Linked DNA regions of Elephas maximus indicus. The protein of the gene in region 1 purifies or fractionates together with the protein of each later gene. This does not show direct contact. Links are inferred from orthologs where the notes say so. Each region holds a gene or a part of one and is shown in the gene's direction. Other genes may lie near its edges.

Region 1 (11,771 bases):
AGACAAGAGGTGGCATTACCATAAGCTCTGTATATGGAATCAGGAAGTCACCACCGTAACAGTGAAAGAAAGCTATCCTGAGGTAAGCAGCAGAGTTCATTCTTAAGCAACACAGTGCTCAGAAATAACACCTCAAGGACCTAGATGCATGTACTACTGCAATATTTCTCAAGCTTCAGTCATTATCATACTATTTTCATGACTTCTGCATACCACCTATATTTTTCTTTTAATTGACTTTAAAAAAAAAAGGCTTTGTTCTAAGCAATATTCCTGAAGTCGCAGACATGATGGGACGGTTTTCAAAGGTGTTGAAATACATACATAAACTTAATATTTTAAAAATCTGACTATAATTAGAAAAACAGAAAACAATAAGTGTTGGCAACAATGTGGAGAAACTGGAACCTTCATCCATAGCTGATGAGAATGTAAAATCGTATAGCCACTGTGGAAAATAGTTCCTCGAAATATTAAGCATAAAATTACCATACGACCCAGCAATTCCACCCCTAGGTATATGCCCAAACAGACACTTGTCCATCAATTGCAGCATTACTCACAATAGCCAAAAGGTACAAACAATTCAAGTGTCCATTAACAGATGAATAGATAAATAAAACGTGGTAAATATATATGTACAATGGAATTTTAGTCATAAAGAGAAATAAAGTTCTGATACATGCTATGACATGGATGAACCTGAAAACATTATGCTCAACAAAGTACAAATATTGTATGATCCCATTTAAATAAAATTTAAAGAAAGTAAAGGTAACTAGTAATTTTTCATCTACAGGTAACTATTATTAACATTTTGGTACATAATTGGCTAAATGCTTTTCTATGATAGACTAATTTTTTTTTAATACAATTAAGTCACATCATTTATGTTATTTTATAACCTATGTTTTAAAACTTTGTATATCACAGGCATGTTTGGATATCGTAATTTAATTAATCAGACTCCTAATGATTTAGGTTACCATTTTTTTTTCTTATTTTTTTAAAACAATACTGCAAGACACATCCTTTGTACATATGTCCAATTATATATTTAGAATAAATTCTTAGGAGTCTAGGTGTGCTGGGCTTGAACATTTAAAAATAACACATACCAAACTGCAACTCCTCACATTACTTTTATCCTGCAACACTTAGAAAGTCCCTCGCACGCCGTAGTTGCTGGAATGAAAACTGTAGATAATAAACTAAAGATGGTCCTACGAGGAGTCACTTAATCGCCACTTACAGATGCGTTTTCTAGGCTCTGAAACCAACATAAGTTACCACCAGCAACATGGTAGGGTGGGAAGAATCAGAAGGCTTGACTTACACTTCCAGCTCTGTGTGTCCTCACCCAAGTCACTTTAGCCTTGCTTCCTGAGAAATATATCCTGATTTCTCGGGGTTATTAAGAAAATTAATGAGAAAAGATATGTGAAAAAATTCTGTAAAATCAATCTAGAGGCTTATATGAATGTGTCACATTAATCCAGTGTCCTAAATTAAGTGAACTTAAAGGACTCTAAACTACTTAGCTAACAAACTCAACTTTAAACTGATCTAACTGCTGGTCCCACCCTGACCTTATTTTCCAATTTTAGTAAACAGACTCCTATCCATTCTCCTCATACCTCAGTTTGCTGCCTGGCTCCACTACAAATGGAATGGGATCCCATCCTTAAACCCCTAGTTCCTGCCACCTACAATTCTGGGTACTGCCTGATATTTCCTACCTTCCCAATGTGATCTGTCAAGAATTTTCTCTGCCTTTTCATGACACTTATTCTCCTACGGTCCTGTGATTACAGGCAATTTGTCGGGGTCATCTGAACAACTAATTCTTCTTTATAACATCAATTATCAGCAACACCGACACTCAAAATTTACTGCTGCCAGAGATGACACAAAATTTTAATGTTAATTATGTAAACATGAACTAGAGTGTAGCTCCAAACAACCATTTCTCGCTCTATCATCCACTCACCCCTTCAGAGACTTAACTCATTAAACAGGACTACCAATGTCTTCTGACATGCCCAACCCTGTCTTTGCTTAAGGTCTTTCCATGTAGAATGTTCTCATCCCCAAATTTAATTTTTCCAAATCTCAATCAAAATAGTGCTTCTACGATTTTTTTCTGATTACACATTTCAAGTGGCCTTTTCTTTTGAATTCTCATCGTCTTTTGCTGAATGTCTTTTATGGCACTTACTATTATTCTATTTTGTATTACCGTTGACTAATTTCTTTTTCTATTTTAGATCTGTGTTGTTCAAACGGAAGCCCACAGACACGTGTGGCTATTGAGTACCTGAAACAGAGCTAGTTCAAACTGCAATGTGCTGTAAGTGTAAAACACACCAGATTTTGAAGAATTAGTATAAAAGAAAAAGTAAAATATTCCACTGAATTTTTAAGTGTTGATTACATGTTGAAATGGTATATTTCTTACATACTAAGTTAAATAAAATATACTATTAAAATTAATTTCATCTGTTTCTTTTTACTTTTTTAACGTGGCTACCAAAGAATTCAAAATTACAGATTTCTATTAGACATGCCTGCTTTAGTCTAGGGCCACTGTATAGAGTTTAGCAGACTGTTATTTGCAAAAAAGCTATGAGGGGAAGAGGGAGGGAAGGGGGGTACTCTCCACCCAGGGGAAAGGAATCTGTTGCTTCACTCAGAGAATCTGTTACCTCACCAAACTGAACCCTGGGAGCTCTGTGTGTTCAGAGGGGGATGTCTTTTCTAATTTGCTCAAAGGCATCATATAAGCTAGCAGTAGCTCTGAGATAGGGGACCATGCCTTACTCATGTTCTGTCTGCCAAAACCAAACCTGCTGCCATAAAGTCAATTCCGACTCATAGCAACCCTACAGGATAGAGTAGAACTGCCCCATAGAGTTCCCAAGGGGTGGCTGGTAGATTCAAACTGCTGGCCTTTTGGTTTGCAGCTGAACCCTTAACCACTGCACCACCAGGGCTCCTCTCTGCCAATAAACAAAAAAAACCAAACCCATCGCTGTGGAGTCGATTCCGACTCACAGCACTCCTACAGGGCAGAGTAGAAATGCCCCATACGGTAGATTCAAACTGCCAATCTTTTCGTTAGCAGCCTAACGCTTAACCACTGTGCCACCCGGGCTCCTATCTGTCACTAAAAAAGAAAACCAAAAAACCCATTGCTGTCCAGTCGATTCTGACTCATAGCGACCCTACAGGACATAGTAGAACTGCCCCATAGTTTCCAAGGAGTGCCTGGTAGATTTGAACTGCCAACCTTTTGGTTAGCAGCCATAGCACTTCGCTGCTATGCCACCAAAGTTTCCTATCTGCCACTATTGTTTACTAAATATGTATTTGTTGAGAAAATAAAGGAACGCATACATAATCAACTCTACTTACCTGCTTCAGACATACTGCTCATCACGCAATGATAGCATATAACACCTTCTCTAGTTATAAAATATGGCTCTCATTAGTGCCCACTACAAATCCAAGTCATTATTTAGCCTCAAACCTTCATTTGCCTGTCTTCTAGCCATTACAGAACCAAATCAAAAATTAATAATCATTTCATAGTTTTTTTTTCATTGCTCTGTACTTCCAAATAAACATTTGACCATTCTCATTATACTGGTGGCACAGTGGTAAAAGCACTCAGCTGCTAACTGGAAAGCTGGCGTTGGAATCCACCAGCTGCTCCACAGGTGAAAGCTGTGGCAGTCTGCTTCCATAAAAATTACAGCCTTGGGAACCCTACGGGACAATTCTACCCTGTCCTATAGGGTCATTATGAGTCGGAATTGACTCACCAGCAGCAGGCATCATACCATGAAAATACTTATTAAGGTATATTTGTATTTTAAAAATCAGCATAAAAAATAAAGCATCCCTAATTCTTTCCAACCAACCTGATTGTACTTCTCTTCTTGTCTCAGAACACTCGACCTTTGGTGATTTCACAACTTTAGTGATGTCGGAGTCAACTACCTTTAGTTTTCCTTTAGGAACGTAGTCTGTACTATGTTGAACAACTTCTTTTTTCTCTTTTGTACCTTTCTGTGTAAATTCTTTGCTATCCTTCTTAGGACTTATTTTTGAATCCAGCTTCTTAGATTTGAAGGACATTTTTGCTTTCTGAATTATTTCAGAATTATCTAATTCATTTTTACTTTCAGCAACCTTTTGATTAATTTTTTCAGTTTCTTTCTTTTTCTCGACTAGACTTTTTGAATCTATTCCTGTTTTAGTCTGGGGTTTTTTCTTCTTCATTTTCTTTTGGTTCAGGGCTTCGCTATCTTCATCAGAGAGATCTGAATCAGAATCCGAAAGGTCGTAGTAACGTTTCAAGTCCTCTGTAGTACTGTGGGTGATGGGGCGCCCTCTTTTATCCACAGCGTAATTCAACTTGAACTTTTTGTCATGAAACATGGCTCGAAATCTCTTGTCAATTTTGACTTTTCTATCCTTTTCTGGCATTTCCCAAAATCTCGGGTCCTTTGTAACCCGTCTAAACCGCTGATCACTCATTATTTCTTGTTTAGATGCCATTTTTAAACTTCTGGACTGGACAAATGCTTGAAGAAACCAAATACTAAAAAATAAAACAAATGTTACAATAATGAAGAGTTATGGATCTAATTAAATATTTGGAAAAATATTAATTCACAATATGCTATAAGTTAAATGAAGGTAACAAGTCTTATTTCATTTTCTCTACTTGCTCTGGGTTACATGTAGAAAAAACCATATTCAAACTATCTTTTCATTTGAAAACATTTGGAGATAAATATAAGTCAAAGCCAAGCAGAATTTCAGAGTTTTATGTTGTGGTAAATGCCTACTAACCAATGGCACTCATTTAAAACTTCTATATGTATTCCTGTTTGTGTTGTAAGTTAAAAGCTAAAGTAATTAAAAGACTTCCAAGCCTTAGTTTGTCTCCCTTATTTCTCTGCATTCTGGTCCCATTCTCACTGTCAATCCTTACCTCCTGCTACTCCCAACAGCCTCTAGTTTTACAAAGCCAGTCTCCTAACTACTTCATAAACAGATCCAAATCACTTCAGGTTTAGCTCACAAACTTCCCTCTTTAAATCCTACTATCCTTCAAGAACCAGGTAAAGTCTCACTCCAGTCAAAAAAAAAATCACAGTTTTTCTATAACATCTTACATTAGATTATTACATCAGAATAGATAGATACACACATACAAATCAGCATTGGCCCCTTGAAAAAACTGACCAATGGTTTAGCATCTCTGGATTTGATTTTTGGTAAATGCCAAAAGTGAGTTTTAAAAGTAAATAGTGACCGATCAAAGAGAATAGTTATGCTTTGTTTTAATGTTTCAAAAACACGGCTTGACTACAAAGCTGTACTTTTTTCTTAAAACAATTTCTTTAATGCCTTAACTAGGTTTCAAAGACGCATTTACACAGCTAAACAAAAATAATACTGATATTAATAACGGCGAGCTCTTACATGCCAGCTACTGTTCTGAGAGCTTTAGATGTATTATTTAACCCTCCGAGACAGCCTTCCGACGTGGACATCATCTTATCCAATTAATAAAGATAACACGTGTAAATGTTTAGAATGAAAGGTCAGATATTCGAACAGAAGGGAAAGAGATCAGACTTAGCTCCTACGCCCACCGTCATCTCCTTAGCCCACCCTGCCCTTCTACCGGTGCCTCAGGCTGAGTAATGAACCGAGTGTCCCCTTGCCCTGCAGCTATTTGGCTGAGGCCCCTAGAGAAAGCGACCATTGAGGAGGATCAAGGAAGTCTGAAAAACGAGGCCAGAAAGGCCAGGAGGAAAGGGTCCACCACTGAAGAAACCGAAGGATAGCCTGTCAGAGACTGGCTCTTCCCTCTCTACCTACCTCCTTGGGCTCAGCAACCCACACAGATTCGCGGCGCCTTCGGTGCGTCTCACACGAGACCCACACCCACAATCCTCCGCGGCACTCGGCCGTAACGGCACGCGAGCAAGGCCAAAACTACTTCGCTATTCCTTCCGCGAAGATCTATACAGTAGCCGCTAAAGCAGCGGTGGCGCATGCGCGCGACCGAAGCGCGCCGGCTAGTGGCGTCACAGTTAAAGATGCTGCGACTCGAGCAGCTCTGGCGCCTGTGGCGGCGGCCTCGGGCGGCGGGGGTCTTCGCGGGAAACCTCAGCCGCAGGGAGGTGGCTTCTGGCGTCTTTCCCCCGGGTGGTGCCTCGCCTAGAGCTCTGAATATTTTCGACCGGAATTTGAAGAGGAAACAGAAGAACTGGGCCGCTCAGCAGCCCGAGCCGAAGAAGTATGACTACCTGAAGGAGGAGGTGAGAGCGCGGGGGTCGGGGAAGGGCGGCGCCGAGGCCGGGCTGCGGATCCGGGAGCTGGGGCCGGGCCCTGACCCCGTCTTGCTGTGTGACCTTGGGCAGCCGCCCTGCCTCCCTGGGCCTCTGCTCTAATCACGGGAGGGTGGGGCTCGGGTGTTCGGAGTGTTTTACTCATTCATTCGTTCGTTCATTCATTCACTCAGCAAATATCGCTTGAGGTACAGCTGTGACCAGGGCAGAGCAAGAACGCGGTTCTCATAAGGCTTGCGTTCTTCGAGGGAGGTGGGATGGGGGCGGAGCGGGCGAAACAGACCCTAGGCAAGAAACAAATTAACCAATACGGCGATTTCAGTTAGGTCAGGAAAATTAAAAAAAAAAAAAGTTAAATGATGATGACTGTTGTGGTCAGGAATGGCCGCTGGGCAGGAGACCCGATGAAGAATTTCGTAGTCAAGCTGAGGGAGGCAAAGGGAAGGACAAGTGCAAGGTGCCTGAGGCCAAAGGGACCTTGTTGAGTCTTCAGCGACGGTGGAGCTTAGAGCTCTAGTGAGTGGGAGAGGTAGTCAGGAGGGCCCAAGTCATTAGGGCCTCATAAGGTAAGGGCTTTGTACTCTGTGTGCTGTCCATCCATTAGGGTAGCCCTGGCCGCATGTGGCTTTTGAAACGCTTGAAATGTCGCTAGTCCAATCGAGATGCACTTTAGGTGTAAAATACACACTGAATTTCAGTGAGGAAAAAAATCATGTAAAATATCTCTATTTTATATTGATTCCTTGATGAAATAATCAAATTTTTGATATATTGGGTTAAATGAAATATATTATTCAAACTAATTTTTCCCTTTATGTTTTTAAAAGTAGCTACTAGAAAAGACTAGAAAATTCAAAAGTACACATCGTTTTCATTTGTATTTTTTTTTGAATTTTTATTGTGCATTAGGTGTAAATTTATGGAGCAAATTGATTTTGTTCCCTGACATTGTTGTCATTCCCCACCATGTGTCAGCACTCTCCCCATTTCCATCCTAGGTTTTCTGTTTCCATTTGTCTTGGTTTCCTACCCCTTCCTGTCTTCTCATCTTTGCTTTTGGGCAAATGTTGCCCTTTTGATCTCATGTAAGAGTACGTTGCTCTTGGGTATTATTGTTTATTTTGTGGGCCTGTCTGTGGTTTGGTTGAAGGGTGGTCTCTGGGAATGGCTTCAGTTCCAGTTCAGAAGGGTGTCGTGGGCCATAGTCTCCAAGGTTCCTCTAGTCCTTGTCAGACCAGTAAGTCTGGTCTTTTTTGTGAATTTGATTTTTGTTCTACAGTTTTCATCCCACTCTGTCTGGGATCCTCTGTTTTGATCCCAGTCAGCTGTCGGCAGTGCTGGCTGGGCACCATCTAGTTTTTCTGGTCTCAGGGCTGTGTAGGCTATGGTTCGTATGGTCCATTAATCCTTCGGACTAATTATTCCCTTGAGTCTTTGGTTTTCTTCACTCTCCTTTGCTCTGGACCACAGAAGACCAATAGTTGTATCTTAGATGGCTGCTCACAAGCTTCTAAGATCCCAGGCACTAATCACCAAAGTAGGATGCAGAACTTTGTCTTTATGAACTATGTTGTGCCAGTTGACGTAGATGTCCCCTGAGTCTATGGTTCTTCGCCTTTGAGCCTAGGAACTTCGTCCCGTGAGGTATTTGGTTACATCTAAAACGTTGCCCTAACTGTGGCCCTTGTGTGCTCTATTGTCTGTATGAATATATAAGCAACACATTCAGTTATGTACGTAGAAATATCCACCACTAAACTTATATCTGCAGGTGAGTGTGTTCCCTTACACCCTCTCACAACTGGCTTTCTTTTAAGGCAAAACTGACCAGTCCCGTTGGTAGGCCGCAATTACGGTCATAAATTGATTTGCATCTCACTTTTTTAATGGCTTTTTTTTTAATGGCTTGGCAAAGCTGTGGTTAAGAGCTCAGGCTGCTAACCAAAAATATTGGCAGTTCTGATCCACCAGCTGCTCCTAGGAAACCCTATGGGGCAGTTCTATTCTGTTCTATAGAGTTGCTATGAGTCAGAATCGACTCAACGGCAATGATTTTTTTTTTTTTTAACGGCTAATGATCGCGAACATTTCTTCCTGTGTTTATTAGCCATCTGAATGTCTTCTTTGGTGAAGTGTCTGTTCATATCCTTTGCCCATTTTTTAGCTGGATTGCTTGTCTTTTTATTGTTGAGGTGTTGAAGTATTCTCTAGACTTTCGAGATTAGACCCTTGTGGATATGTCATAGCCAAAAATTTTTTCCCGGTCTGTGGATTCCCTTTTTCACATGAAATATAAAGGATACGTTATATATGTGTGTATATAACATACGTATGTTGTTTCATCGACAGCAATGGGATTTTTTTTTTTTTTTTTTTTTTTTGCGGCGGGGGATTATTTTGAAATAGAGGAGAAACTTGCTGTGGTCAAATAGAAAAAGGGATTAAGGGAAGTACTTCTCTACCAGTTGAAACGTAAGTAACCTGTGGATTGTCGAATGCTGTGAAAAGTGTTACTTCTCTGTTAAGCCTGCTCATCTTGTGTGTATCATTGCCTCTTGTTATCCTTCAGGTTGGAAGTCGGGTTGCAGACCGTGTATATGACATAGCCAGGTAAGTGATGGTTACTTAGTAAAATTTAGTCACCTTTCAGCTGGAGACTCAATATATTAAATGTTGAGAGCTCAATACCTGGAGTGGCAAAATGTGGAGGAAATTATTACCAGGAGTGGTGATAATCACTCTCTAGTTGTTTCTTTATGTCTGAGAGAGCAAATGTTCTTTCCTTCGTTGTTGCCTAAAAAACAAATGACTGCAAGCACAACTCACGGCTTGTCTCCAGGCCTGAATGACTGATCCTCTTGATTTGGCCAAAAGCCAGTAGTGGAAGGATTGCTCCAAAAATGGGCATATAGGATTGGCTGCATGTGAATATTGAAGATTTACTAAACCTAGCTTTACATGTTTAACTAAACTTAGCAATAGAGTCTTTTATCATCTAAGAGAAGGAGAGAGTCTGCCTAGATTCACTCTCCAATTTGATTATATGGGACTTTGGCCACTTTATCTTGAACATTGTTAGTGGTAACAAGGTTGTATGAGGAAGATTCAAGAAAAGAACACTTTCATGAAGTATTATTGAAACCTTGGTGAATTCATTGCTTAATATTAGATACAGTGAAAGATCTGTGGACTGGAGTTGACAGCCATGTGGCAGATGCTGTGTGATGTTAGGCAAATTTTTGTACTCTTAGGTTAAAAGACCATCCGTTAATTCAGACCAAGATGGGATTAATTTATTGGATTTGTCTATAATAAAGGAAATTTCGTAAAATCATGAACTCTTTCAATCGTATTTTAGATACTTCCGTGCTGCTTTTGGGATGCATTAATTTCATAAGACAAAATGCTTCATTGTCTCAAATAATTGCCCCCATTTCATTTGTTTCATTGGTTCCATTTATAGATCTGAAAAATAGCTAATTCTTAATAATTTCCTTTCTTATGCCTGGATTATAGCCCATTTGTGATTTAATAAGTGAAAAATTAGGTTTTGCAAATCTGTTTGGATTTTACAATCTTTATGTCATAGTACTGAGCAAAACACAGGTCTATGGAGAGACCTAGGATTACGGCTAAAAGCATGTCTTCAACTAACATTAACTCTTTGGAATTGAATTATTAAAAATATCAGTCTAAATTAATATTCTTTATTTATGTTCTGGTATTAGAAAAAAGTTTTTATTGTCAGCACTGATGTCGTTGATTTTTTAAAAACTAACTGCACAGATTATTGTCTTATTTGTGGATTCAGAGGCTCACTAGTCACAAAACTGATAACTAGCTCCTATTGAGCATTTGTACTGTGCTAAATGCTTTATGCACACTGCCGTTGTGTGTGCCGTCAAGTCTGTTCCGACTCGTAGTGGCCCTATATGATGGAGTAGAGCTGCTTCTAGGCTGTAATCTTTACGGGAGCTGATCACCAGGTCTTGTCTCCTGTGGAGCCTCTGGGGGTTCGAACTACTGACATTTCGTTTAGTAGCAGAGCACTTAACTATTGCGCTACTAGGGCTCCTTTTACGTGCATCATTTTTTATAACTTGCACCAACTCTGAGGTACGCAGTAATTTTTCTGTTTTTTAGATGGAAACTGAGATCTATCAAGGTTAAATCACTTGCTTCGTTTACAGAGCCAATAAATTTCAGGCCCAGAATTCTGACTCAGGTCTTTCTGATTCCAAAGCCTGCATACTTTACAACTGTGCCACATTGTCTGTGTTCATAGTCCAGATACAGGGCACTAGGTTAGTAAATCACCAGTCGTGTTCTCCAACTCTGTGTTGGTGTTCTGTATTTTTGACATAGATTTTTAACAGAAATTGAAAAGGGATTCTTTCTGTTCCGATTTTCTGGGAAAAATAATATTAGCTGATAAAATTTTAAATTTTATTGTCACAACTTTTTCTTTAACCTATGACCTACAGTTAGAAGTTTGTACTAATTTAGTATGATACAGTATGTTTAGAAGAGACAGTATAGCATAGGAAATAATAGTTCTGATTCAGGATTCAAGGACTGGATTCACGTACTGACTCTGCCACTTATTAGTTGAGTGATCTTGGGTTGGCTTACGCTCTTGGAACACTTAGCACAGTGCTTTGAGCCTGGTAAGTTTTCAATAAACTCTTATTTTTTTTTTTTTAGTTTAACTTGTTAATACTTCATGGCAGTTCACAAAGAACATCTGAGTGATCTGATACATAAACAAATTTGAAAAATAGAGATATTTACTAAGGCCCTGATAGGTATATTCACTATACTCATGTTAATTTATATTAGCTTCTTTTCATACTTTACCTGAATGTATTATAAAATTTAAAAACACCATTTAAGGTATTTTAGAAATCCATATCATGGAGCAGCCTTATGAGACCAAACCCATTGCTGTTGAGTTGGTTTTGACTCATAGCAATCCTATAGGACAGAGTAGAACTGTGCCATCTGGTTTCCAAGGAGCTGGTGGATTCGAGCTGCCAACCTTTTGGTTAGCCGCGGTAGATTCACTATGAGGTTTGTGAATGGCAGGCCAGTCAGACTTGCTTCATACATTATACTTCCTGGTAGATATAGCTTGTAAGGCAAGGTATATGATGTGACTTTCTGAAAATTGAGTTCACTAGAATGTTTTTACTTAAGAAAAATTAGTTTTTAATTACTATGCATCACATGTATATCGCATGTGCATTACGTATTGTTGATATTATTACAAAGCATAATTTGTATCTCTTTATTTTAGAGATTTCCCCCTTGCTTTGGATGTTGGTTGTGGAAGAGGTTACATAGCACAACATTTGAATAAGGTATGTTATTTGGTGACATAATTTTACTTTGAGAAATTAA
Region 2 (10,902 bases), on another chromosome or scaffold:
CTGCACGTGTGTCCCTGGTGGCTGGGGTGGGCACAGGGCTGGGCTGTAGCCCCCCTGGAAGAGCAGTACCCTCAGGCAGGCACAGGGATGGACTCAGAGGCTGCAGGGATGGCTGGCTATCCGGAAAAGGTGAGGCGTCAGTCAGCAGGTCGGGAGGGCAAGCCTGGGCATGCACAGGCACTGTGGGGCTGGGCTCGGCCGGGAGCCTCCGTGGAGAGGGTTGGTGCCGGCAGGAAGCTTCAAAGTGCCTCAGGATCTGGAAATCCGGGAGAGAGAGGAGGCTGGGGCCGGGGGGTCCCGCAGAAGACAAGGCCCCAGCCCCTGAGTGCCTCTCCAAGTGCCACAACACAGAGCAGGGCCAGTTCTGGGGCACCAGTTCTGACGGCCCTCCCCCGCAGATGCCCAGGCCGTGCTGCGTGCACCGCCTGCATTCTCCCTTCCACGGCCATCATGCCAGTGAGCGTGTCCTGACATCTTCGTTCTGACGACGTGACGTCCCGCAGAGCCACGCACAGGGCAACCCCCCGGTGCTCACCTTGGTGGCCTTGTTGGTCACAGGCCCGGGGCTGCCCACACTGAGTTCTTGCAGCCGTGGCCGGGCCAGGAAGAGCACGTGATCCTGGGACAGCAGGTCAGCGCCACCGATGGCGGACAGGGCACACAGGGCTCTCTGTGGGAGAGTGGGATGGGGGGGCTCGCACCACACACTTCTTCCTCCTCCCCTTCCCCAGCCGGCCTGGACAGTGAGGAGGGAGGGACCACCAGGCAGCACAGTCACTCCCAGAGGAGGACGGCCTGGTGGCTCTCTCCGACTTCTCACTGTGGGACCAAGCACAGGGTCACCCAGGTGGCCACTGCAGACCCCACCCTGACCCCCAGCACAGAGTCTGGGGAGGCTGAGGAGTCAGGGTGGAGACGCTGCCCCTTCCCCCCCACCCCTCTGCATACACGCATGCTCTCACGCACATACATACACCCATGCCTGCACACGCGAGCATTCAGACACACACACTAGTACACACACATGTACACACACAGAGAACATCGACACATACATATACATGCACACTTGTGCACATAAGCACTCATGTACACACACGCACATGTCCGTGTACGTAGGCACACTCACGTATACACATACACACATGTATGTACATGCACACTCACGCATGCACATCTACACACACACTTGTGCACACACAGGCATACGCCCCACTCCAGCCCTCCTCGCCAGGCCCTCACCATCTGCTCACACTCTTGGGCCCCAGCCAGGTGGCGGGTCAGCAGCTCCAGCACGGCCTCGCAGTTGAGCCGCCCACACCTGCACAGAGGGACAGCTGGGCCAGGGGCTGGCCAAGGGGTGACCACGGCCAGACCTGGGCTTCAGGGGAGCATGTGGGCCTGTGGGTGTCCCCCCTCCCCGCAGCAGGCAGTGGGTGCTCACTCCTTGAGGAAGTGCTGGATCTCCTCATGGCTCAGGAAGGCACGTGATCCCTGCATCACAGCCCTCACCAGGCTCGCCTCCTGCTGGCAGTCGCTCAGGGCCACAGCCTCAACCCTGTCAGACAGATGGACAGACAGACAGGCGGACAATCAGCTCAGGGAAGAGTCAGAGAGGAATGGCCCCTGCTAGACTGCAGACCCCTCCCTCCTCCCCAAGCTACAGTGAAATACTAGGGAAGGGCCAGGAAGTGGGGACCCAGGCAGGGAGGATCCAGGGAGGGGGAACCCAGGGAGGAGGGATCCGGACGGGGGATCCAAGGAGGGAAGAGGGGATCTAAGTGGGACTGGACTAAAAGAGAAAGGGGCTGTCCCCTGATGCCTGGCCACGCCCCTCACCTCTCCACCAGCTCGCCAGGCTCCCGGCCCACCCTTGAACAGCCATCACTGACACAGCCGCTACCAGAGTCAGAGGCCCTGCTCTGGCTACCATTCTCCTGGGAAGACCCTCGGGAGCTGGGGCTGCTGTCTGGCTCCTCCCAGCCGCCCCCAGGCTGCCCTGGCTGGTGTCTCACAGCTGCGAAAGACAGAAGGCAGGTCAGTCCCAGGGACCTCATACTGCCCCCTAGACTCACAGACCCCTGGAGAGACCCGGGGACAGCCTGGGAGGAGCTGTCGCCCAGCTCAGTTGTGAGTCACCCTGTGTGGTGCTTTGGGGACAGGGCTTGGCCGACAACCCCACTGGGGATTCCCTTCATCTCTAGCCCGCCCTGGCCCAGGGGCTGTGTCTTCCTGCATGTGGGAACACTGTGGCTGTCCCATGGCTCTGATGCCCCTCCAGCCCCCAGAGGTGAAGGCCGCCCCCCTTTAAGGCTTGTCCCCCGCCGGGCCACAGGGAGGGAGAGCTAGACTCCAGCGAGGTCCCTGCCATGGAACCTCGAGTGCCTGGGCTGGCCCCTGGGAGCAGCCTCCCAGGAGAGGGGTGGCTGTGGCTGGCTGATGGTGTCACAGCGGGTTGGTAGGTGTCATCCCCCAGCGTGGACCTCTGCGCACCAGGCTGCTCATGCCCAGGACGCATGGCGTTAGCCACCACCTCTGCAGCCTTCTGGATCGTGGAGAGGAAGGCTTCCCCCACAGAGCCTGTGTCGGGAGGGGAAATAGAATGGTGCTGGTCCCTCACCTCATTCTCCGGGCATGCTGTTGCTATGGAGCACTTCTGTCCCCACCCCACCCTCCTCATGGCCCAGCAGAAGGTCAAACCCAGGTGGACAGAGAAGACGAGGGAGGTTAGCATGCCAGGGTAGAAGAGGCCAGCTGGCTGCCCCGGCCCTTCATGCCATGCCCTTGGGGGCAGCTGGGCCAGCCTGGAGCACTAGCTCCCATTCCCCAGGGGGGCAGCCACAGGACTCACCTGTACGGCCCCTCTCATGGCTGTAGCCGAAGCCCTGGAGGGTGCTGTGGGGCCGGGGCTGGGAGCCCATGCCTAGGGGAGGAGACCCTGGGTCAGCACTGTAGCCCCCCTCTGCAGCACACACGCATACTGGGGATGCAGAGCCCAGGATGGCAGGGAGGGGCATGTCACGTACCAGTGGGAGGCAGCAGCCTGGGGACTCGGGGGGCAGACAGCGGTGACACCGCATCTGAGAACAGGGCGCTGTCCAAGTCCTAAACAGGAGCCGGAGATTATTTAGGCACGCCGCACCACACCCCTGCCCCCCTGTCCCCCCACCCCTCCACGCCACCCTCCCCCACTCTCCACAGTCCTAGAACCACCTGCACCTCCTCTGCACTGTACAGGCTGCCAACGGGGCTCTGGGGCGGGGGCAGGGGTTCCAGGCCAAGCAGAGCCCAGGGTACCCAGGTCGGGGGGAGGGAGAATGAAGCTACTGTGCAGTGTGGAGGGGAACAATGGCCCGGAGGAGGCGACTCACCTGGGCGGCCAGCCGGACCTTCTGGTACAAGCTGTTCCCGTGAAGAGGGTCGGGGGGCCCAGTGAAGACTGCAGACAGAGGAGAGGCGGTGCTCAGTCTGGCACCAGGTGCCCTGGGCACCAGGCGGGCACACTCTGGAAGCCCACCCCGGGGGGAAGCAGAGCGCGTCACCCCATCACAGCTCCACCCCCCAGTCTGGGCTGCAAGGCTGCTGCGCTTAGAGGGGGTGCTCTCAGCCCAGACGACACGCCCGCCCGCACCGGTGGCCTCCTGGATGAAGGCAGAGTTGCGCTTCAGGATGCCCAGGAAGGACGAGGAGCCATGGCTGCACAGGTAGAGCAAGATCTTCAGTACCTGGGGTTGGAAGAGCTATGTGGGCAGGCAGCCGGCAGCAGCCGCCTCCACCCTGGGCAGTTCACCCGCCTCCCCTCCCCTCCCACCTTGAGCTTCACGTGGCCCGAGCTGCTCTGCAAGCGCCTCAGGAGGTACTCCAGGAGGCACTGGCTGCTCCCCAGGGACTCGTGGGAGATGTCTGGGTGTGGGGTTAGGGAAGGAAGGCAGGCTATCCCGTCACTTCGGCCTGCTCAGCACATGCTCCCCCAAGGGCCCGTGTCATCGGAACACCACGTTCGGACCTGCCCGCACCTGACTATGGGTGCAAGCACCCGCGGAGCCCACCTCGGGGTAGCAGAAGAACCCCAGTAATCTCTGGGCCACTCAGGGCCCTGATGCCCACTCCCCCAACCCAGACACCCAGGAAGGATACTAGCAATCTCTTCAAACAAGTAGCCAGGACATGGGACGTCATCATCCGACGTGCCTTTCAGGAGGACTGGAAGCTGGAAAGAGCAAGAGGCCCTGCGTGAGGAGCCACCCACGTGGGTGAGCCCACAGCCACTGCAGGTGACGAAGCTCCGGAAACTCCTGAGACGTGCCATCCCAGTGCTTGGTGCTTTAGGGGCGCCAGCTTCCAGCTATCTCACTGTTGGCACACCCATCAGGGAAAGGATCCGGGGCAGTGGCTCTCCAAGCAGGTCGAAACAGGCACCGCAAATGGCCCCCACCCACAGCCGGGCAGCACAATTCAAAGTGCCTTTAATGCGCTGTCTACGGCCAAGCAGGAGAAACAAGCCTGGCGGCAAGCCCTTCCCACAAAAATACAGCACGCGGCTCAGTCTTTACAGAGCTTGAAGTGGCAACATTACAGAACTGCCTGGGCTGACGGACCCAATCACTCCACCTCCGCCACGGACCTCACAGAACTACCCTGCACCCAGCTTACCTTGTGTGTTTACGTTTGCCCGTCAGCACAAGCGGATGTTCATTTACGGCACACACTTATCTATCAGCACCAGAACTAGTTGCCACTGAGTTGACTCTCCATTCGTGGTAAACCCACGTATCGGAATAGAAGTGTACTCCACAGTGTCTACAATGGCTGTGACCTTTCAGAACCAGGTCGCCAAGCCTTTCTTCCGAGGTCTTTCAGCACCCACTCAAAGGCCACTGCTGTAGTCGATTCTGACCCATGACCCTGTAGAATATAGTAGAACTACCCCATAGAGTTTCCAAGGCTGTAACCTTTATGGAAAAAGATTACCACATCTTTCGTGAGGATTGACTGGTGGGTTAGAACCCCAGCCTTTCGATTAGCAGCTGAGTGCTTTAACCAGTGTGCCACACACACACACTGTGGCTATTAGCAAGAAATGCACTATTTACAGGGATAGAACATCAACCTCTCATTAGCCAACGTGTCGTTCACCTGATCCTAAACACAGGAGAGTTTGGGATTGTTTAAAGCAGTGAGTACGTAGACCCCGTGGGTGCTAAGCACGTGACACGGTACAAACGGGCGCCGCTAGTATCGTGTCAGCGCACGATAACGTGTCTGGGTGATGCTAAGTGGACAAGGCAGGATGGGCCAATGCAAACACGGCTCACGTGCCAACCAGACCTGGAGAGAGCCTAGGGGGTCTGTATATGTGGGTTCAATGCCCGCCACGTTTTTTTCTCCTTAAAGCTGTTTTAATTTGGGAAAGAAAGTAGACTTTCGCAGCCTAGAGCTCCCACTTTCCCGGCTGAGGTCCTTCAGAAAGAGATGGCTTCAACCCCAGAGCTGACACCAGAGTCGGAGTGATGCGCCTATCGGAGTGATGTGCCTGCGTTGTACACGGGGGTGTCCCAGCCTTCAGGAGAGACTCAGACCTCAGCAGGAGGCAGAACACGGGGGGCAGGAGAGGAGCTGGGAAGGGGACCGAGGCTGGGGGACCGGGAGGCTGGACACCAGGGAGGAGAGGAGGCGACAGACGGGACCGAGGCCGGAGGACCGGGAGGCTGGCCACCGGGGCAGAGGGAGACCACAGAGAGGACCGAGGCTGGGGGACCGGCAAACTGGCCACCCAGGCAGGGAGGAAGCGACAGAGAGGACCGAGGCCGGGAGACCGGGAAGCTGGATACCAGGGCGGAGGGAGGCGACAGAGGGGACCGAGGCCAGGGGACCGGGACGCTGGACCCCAGGGCAGGGAGGAGGTGACAGAGGGGACCGAGGGTGGGAGGCTGGCTGGCGGGATGGGGACTGAGGCCGGGGCCGAGGCCAGCGAGGGCCTGAGGAGGGGCTGTGCGGTGCGCGGCGGCTCCAGGCCCTGCGAGCACCGGGAGGGCGGGCCGGGCCCAGAAGCGGCGGCATGCGGTGACCCCGAGGCGGGCGGCCCGCGCGGGGAGAAAGCAGAGCAGGGGGAGGACCTGACAGACCTGACAGACTGCGGACACTCACCCGGTGCAGGAAGCTCAGGCGGTCCCGCAGCGGCGGCGCTGCCGCCATAATGCTGGCCACCTCCTGGCCACGCTGCTTCCGCCAGGCCCAGACCCGTCCAATCACCGCGCGGGGCTGGCCCAGTTGGCCAACCGCTCGCGGTGGGGCGGGCACTGGGCTGGCTTCGGTAAACAATTTGAGCATAAACCAATCCAAAGTCCCAGAGCAAGAACAGACAAGGACACAAGCCAATTGCAAGACTCTGAGAGACCAGCCGCGGCTCTGGAGGCGGTTGTGGAGGGCGAAGGTCGAAGTCTACCAATTAGAGAGCTCGGTGTAGGTCAGGGCGGAAGTGCGCTTCTCTGAGGCCGCTGGCGCCGGAAGAGGACGGACCCAAAATGGCGGCTCCCGCGGGGGCCCGGATCGGTCGTTCATGTCAGCGAAGGGAGCGGTGTGGAGTCGCGTGCGAGGCCGCCTCCGCGCTTTCCCCGAGCGCCTGGCGGCCTGCGGGACCGAGGTGAGGACTAGGCAGTGTCTTCGGAGCAGGAAGGGCCGCGCGGGGAGAAGAGCGGAGGGCGATGGGGCTACTCCCGGGCAGGAAGGGCCGCGCGCAGCGGAGGGCGGTGGGCGAAGCCGAGACCCGGAGGGACCCTGGGAGCGGAGGGCGGTGGGACGAGTCTGGCGCCGAGAGGACCGCCGCGACCCGCGCCCGACTCCTCTGCAGGCCGCGGCGTATGGCAGGTGCGTGCAGGCCTCCACTGCCCCGGGCAGCCGCCTGAGGAAGGACCTCTGCGCACAGGAGTTCGAGGCCTTGCGGAGGTGCTTCACCGCCGCGGTAGGTGGGCGCCGGGAGGCCCGAGAGGTCAGGAGGGAACCCGAACCGGTGGTCTGCCTGCTGCCCACCTGCCCGCCTCCCCAGGGCTTTCCACCCGGGGTTGTAGCCCTCCCTCTCATTCCTTCAGTGCTCGAGCGCCTGCTGCTGCTTTAGACGTCGGGACACCATAACAGTCAGCCAAAAAGTCCACAAAACTCTTTTGTTTTCGTGGAGTTTACGTGTTTATTAGAAGACGATGACATTAACCTGAGAAACCATCGGAAAATTAGCAGAGATGATGAGGGCGGTGGGGGGTCACCTTACCAACACCCTGGTGTTTTGGGGTTCACACAGCTGAGCCTCCTGCCACAGCCTCGTTTCTTAAGTCCAGTTTGGTCAAGGAAGACCTTTGTGGTGGGAGTTTTCTTGCTTTGGAGCCATATCTAACCTGAAAACTACCTGTGCTGACAAAGTACCTTCTTTTTCAGGCCAAGACCGTGAAGGGAGGCTGCTAGGAGGGACCAGCCCACCCAAGCTGCACAGAGCCAGGCCCAACCTTGCCAACAGCACGTGGCAGCATTTAACACTGAGGCTGAAACCTAGGCATGGAGACTTCGGCTCTCAAATGGGCCTGCGTCTCTGCAGGGAGAGCTGCAGAAAGAGGGGGAGTGGGTTTCCCAGCAAGAATGTACAACAGGGTGTGGGACAGAATAAAACATACTTGAACTAAAAGACAACCGGTACAGATTCTGTTTGACTGTGCAGGGGGCAGGGCAGGGAACAAGGATGTACCAGGAATAAAATTAGAAGTGCCACCTTAAGGGTTAAAGTAATAATTGTGAGGATGGTGCAGGACTGGGCAGTGTTTCCTTCCATTGTACGTGGGGTGGTTAATCAAAACAAACTCCACGGCACCGAACAGCAGCAAACCATGAGGGGAAAAAAAATCCATGCAGTAGAGAATCCTACAGCTGACTTTCCTGGTCCCAGGAAAAGGTGGGGTCACACTTCCAGACTAACAATGGGCTATAAGGGGGACCCCTTACCCCTCCTTTTGCTACCTCCTCTTGGTATCAGGAGCCCAAGTTCATCACTGACATCTCTCTTGCCCAGTCCAGCTCCCCATCCTCTCGTTCCATGAGCTAAAAGGGAGATCAGAAGTGCAGAACCCGCCCCGGCCGTACATTTAAATAGTCTAAAGCCCACAGGCCATCGGGGTCCCAAAAATCCTGGGCACGCTGGGAACTGCTTTGAGTGGGCATCCCCTCTCATGCAGCAGCCTACTCCAGATGCCAGAGCATGGCTCACTAGGCCCAGTGAGCAGGAGTAGCCCTGCAACCCAGCGAGCCCAGGCCTGTTTTCAGGCCCTCACCTGGCCCATTTCTAAATTCTATTCCATAATCAGTCCCCTCTCCCCAGGTGTGGAGACCCTCTCGTCCTTGATCCACCTGAGGCTTTGTTCCAGGCGCCTGACGCCCTTGGATCTACCCCACCAGTAGTGGCACGTTTCAGAAAGCACTGGGTGCTCCCAGGACTCTGCCTGTCTCTCTGCGGACAGGTGAGAAACAAGCCAGCATGTGCCAGGCAGGCAGCGCTGTTCCAGCCTCCTGGGAGAGGAGGGGATGGTGGTACCTCCCAACAGAAAAGGGTCCAGAAAACTAGGTTAGCAGGAAAATCAAGGCAGAAATAAAATCCCACCCCAGGTAATATCCTCCTAGACAGCTGGGGGCTGTCTAGGGGGATATTACTGGGCACTGGTTCCTCCAGGGTCACTTCTAATGAAGGGCCGGAGGCACCCTGTGCTGGTGGAACGTGTCCCTGGACTCATGAACACCCAGAACCTGTGTGACCACACGGGACACGGGTCTCTGGGTGAGGCCAACCTGGGGTCGGGGGAGCGTCTTTCAGGTTGTTGTTGTTAGGTGCCGTTGAGTCAGTTCCAACTCATAGGCGACACTATGCACAACAGAACGAAACACCGCCGGGTCCTGCGCCATCCTTTCAATCGTTGTTATGCCTAAGCCCATTGTTGTAGCCACTGTGGCAATCCACCTCGTTGAGGATCTTCCTCTTTTCCGCTGACCCTGTACTCTGCCAAGCATGATGTCCCTCTCCAGGGACTGATCCCTCCTGACAACAAGTCCAAAGTATCTAAGACGCAGTCTCGCCATCCTTGCCTCTAAGGAGCATTCTGGCTGTACTTCTTCTAAGACAGATTTGTTTGTTCTTCCAGCGGTCCATGGTATATTCTATATTCTTCGCCAACACAATTCAAAGGCATCAATTCTTCGGTTTTCCTTATTCATTGCCCAGCTTTCACATGCATATAATGCGATTGAAAATACCATGGCTTGGGTCAGGCGCACCTTAGTCTTCAAGGTGACATCTTTGCTCTTCAACACTTTAAAGAGATCCTTTGTAGCAGATTTACCCAATACGATGCGTCTTGATTTCTTGACTGCCGCTTCTATGGCTGTGGATTGGGGATTCAAGTAAAATGAAATACTGACAACTTCAATCTTTTCTCCGTTTATCATGATGTTGCTCATTGGTCCAATTGTGAGGATTTTTGTTTTCTTTGTTGAGGTGCAATCCATACTGAAGGCTGTGGTCTTTGATCTTCATTAGTAAGTGCTTCAAGTCCTCTTCACTTTCAGCAAGCAAGGTTGCGTCACCTACATAACGCAGGTTGTTAATGAGTCTTCCTCCAACCCTGATGCCCCGTTCTTCATATAGTCCAGCTTCTCGTATTATTTGCTCAGCATACAGATTGAATAGGTATGGTGAAAGATTACAACCCTGACACACACCTTTCCTGAATTCAAAACATTCAGTATCCCCTTGTTCTGTCCGAAAAACTGCCTCTTGATCTATGTAAAGGTTCCTCATGAGCACAATTAAGCGTTCTGGAATTCCCATTCTTCGCAATGTTATCCATAATTTGTTATGATCCACACAGTTGAATGCCTTTGCATAGTCAATAAAACACGGGTAAACATCCTTCTGGTATTCTCTGCTTTCAGCCAGGATCCATCTGACATCAGCAATGATATCCCTGGTTCCACGTCCTCTTCTGAAACCGGCCTGAATTTCTGGCAGTTCCCTGTCAATATACTGCTACAGCCGTTTTTGAATGATCTTCAGCAAGATTTTGCTTAAGTGTGATATTAATGATATTGTTCTATAATTTCCACATTCGGTTGGTTCATCTTTTTTGGGAATAAGCATAAATATGTATCTCTTCCAGTCAGTTGGCCAGGAAACTGTCTTCCATATTTCTTGGCATAGACGGATGAGCACCTCCAGTGCTGCATCTGTTTGTTGAAACATTTCAATTGATATTCCATCAATTCCTGGAGCCTTGTTTTTGGCCAATGCCTTCAGAGCAGCTTGGACTTCTTCCTTCAGTACCATTGGTTCCTGATCATATGCATCTCTTGAAATGGTTGAACATCGATTAATTCTTTTTGGTATAATGACTCTGTGTATTCCTTCCATCTTCTTTTGATGCTTCTTGCGTCGTTTAATATTTTCCCCATAGAATCCTTAATTATTGCAACTCAAGGCTTGAATTTTTTCTTCAGTTCTTTCAGCCTAAGAAATGCCAAGCGTGTTCTTCCCTTTTGGTTTTCCATCTCCAGCTTTCAGACAGAAATGACAATTATTTCAGAAGGTGCAGGTGAAGAGCTGTGTGGTGAGGTTTCTGAGGAACGTCTCAAAGGCTAGTCCTCCTCACAGCTGGGCATCCTACATGTAGTCAGCACACAGCCCCCACGCCAGCCCAGCACATAAGGTTTGGGGTGTCTCCACCAGGATAAGGGCAGGCACCCGTGCAGACACACCACCGCCTGGGGCCTCAGTGGACCTCTGCCACCGATGCGTCTCCCAGACGGCGTGTGTGACCACCAGCTTTTCTGAACCCTTAAAAAGCACCACCCTGCACCTAGGGAGGCTGTGTTTAT

The links.
Region 2: the proteins of NDUFAF5 (region 1) and NDUFAF8 purify together in Homo sapiens (affinity purification with mass spectrometry; 3 studies listed by BioGRID and IntAct, counting the BioPlex papers as one, with this or other methods). This does not show direct contact. The link is inferred for Elephas maximus indicus from reciprocal best matches to the Homo sapiens genes NDUFAF5 and NDUFAF8.

The regions. Positions count from the first base shown.
Region 1 is NC_064843.1:53,402,042-53,413,812, forward strand, and holds the start of NDUFAF5 (arginine-hydroxylase NDUFAF5, mitochondrial), read left to right. Parts: upstream 1-6,096; 5' UTR 6,097-6,119; coding exon 6,120-6,341; intron 6,342-8,940; coding exon 8,941-8,981; intron 8,982-11,667; coding exon 11,668-11,731; intron 11,732-11,771. Other genes in the region: ESF1 homolog, read right to left, coding at 3,924-4,563. UniProt on the Homo sapiens protein: Arginine hydroxylase that mediates hydroxylation of 'Arg-111' of NDUFS7 and is involved in the assembly of mitochondrial NADH:ubiquinone oxidoreductase complex (complex I, MT-ND1) at early stages. May also have methyltransferase activity.
Region 2 is NC_064837.1:71,126,001-71,136,902, forward strand, and holds NDUFAF8 (NADH dehydrogenase [ubiquinone] 1 alpha subcomplex assembly factor 8), read left to right. Parts: upstream 1-6,488; 5' UTR 6,489-6,559; coding exon 6,560-6,643; intron 6,644-6,850; coding exon 6,851-6,961; intron 6,962-7,428; coding exon 7,429-7,455; 3' UTR 7,456-7,520; downstream 7,521-10,902. Other genes in the region: AP-4 complex accessory subunit tepsin, read right to left, coding at 1-256, 536-670, 1,243-1,321, 1,445-1,558, 1,840-2,017, 2,377-2,580, 2,852-2,923, 3,027-3,105 and 4 more. UniProt on the Homo sapiens protein: Involved in the assembly of mitochondrial NADH:ubiquinone oxidoreductase complex (complex I, MT-ND1). Required to stabilize NDUFAF5.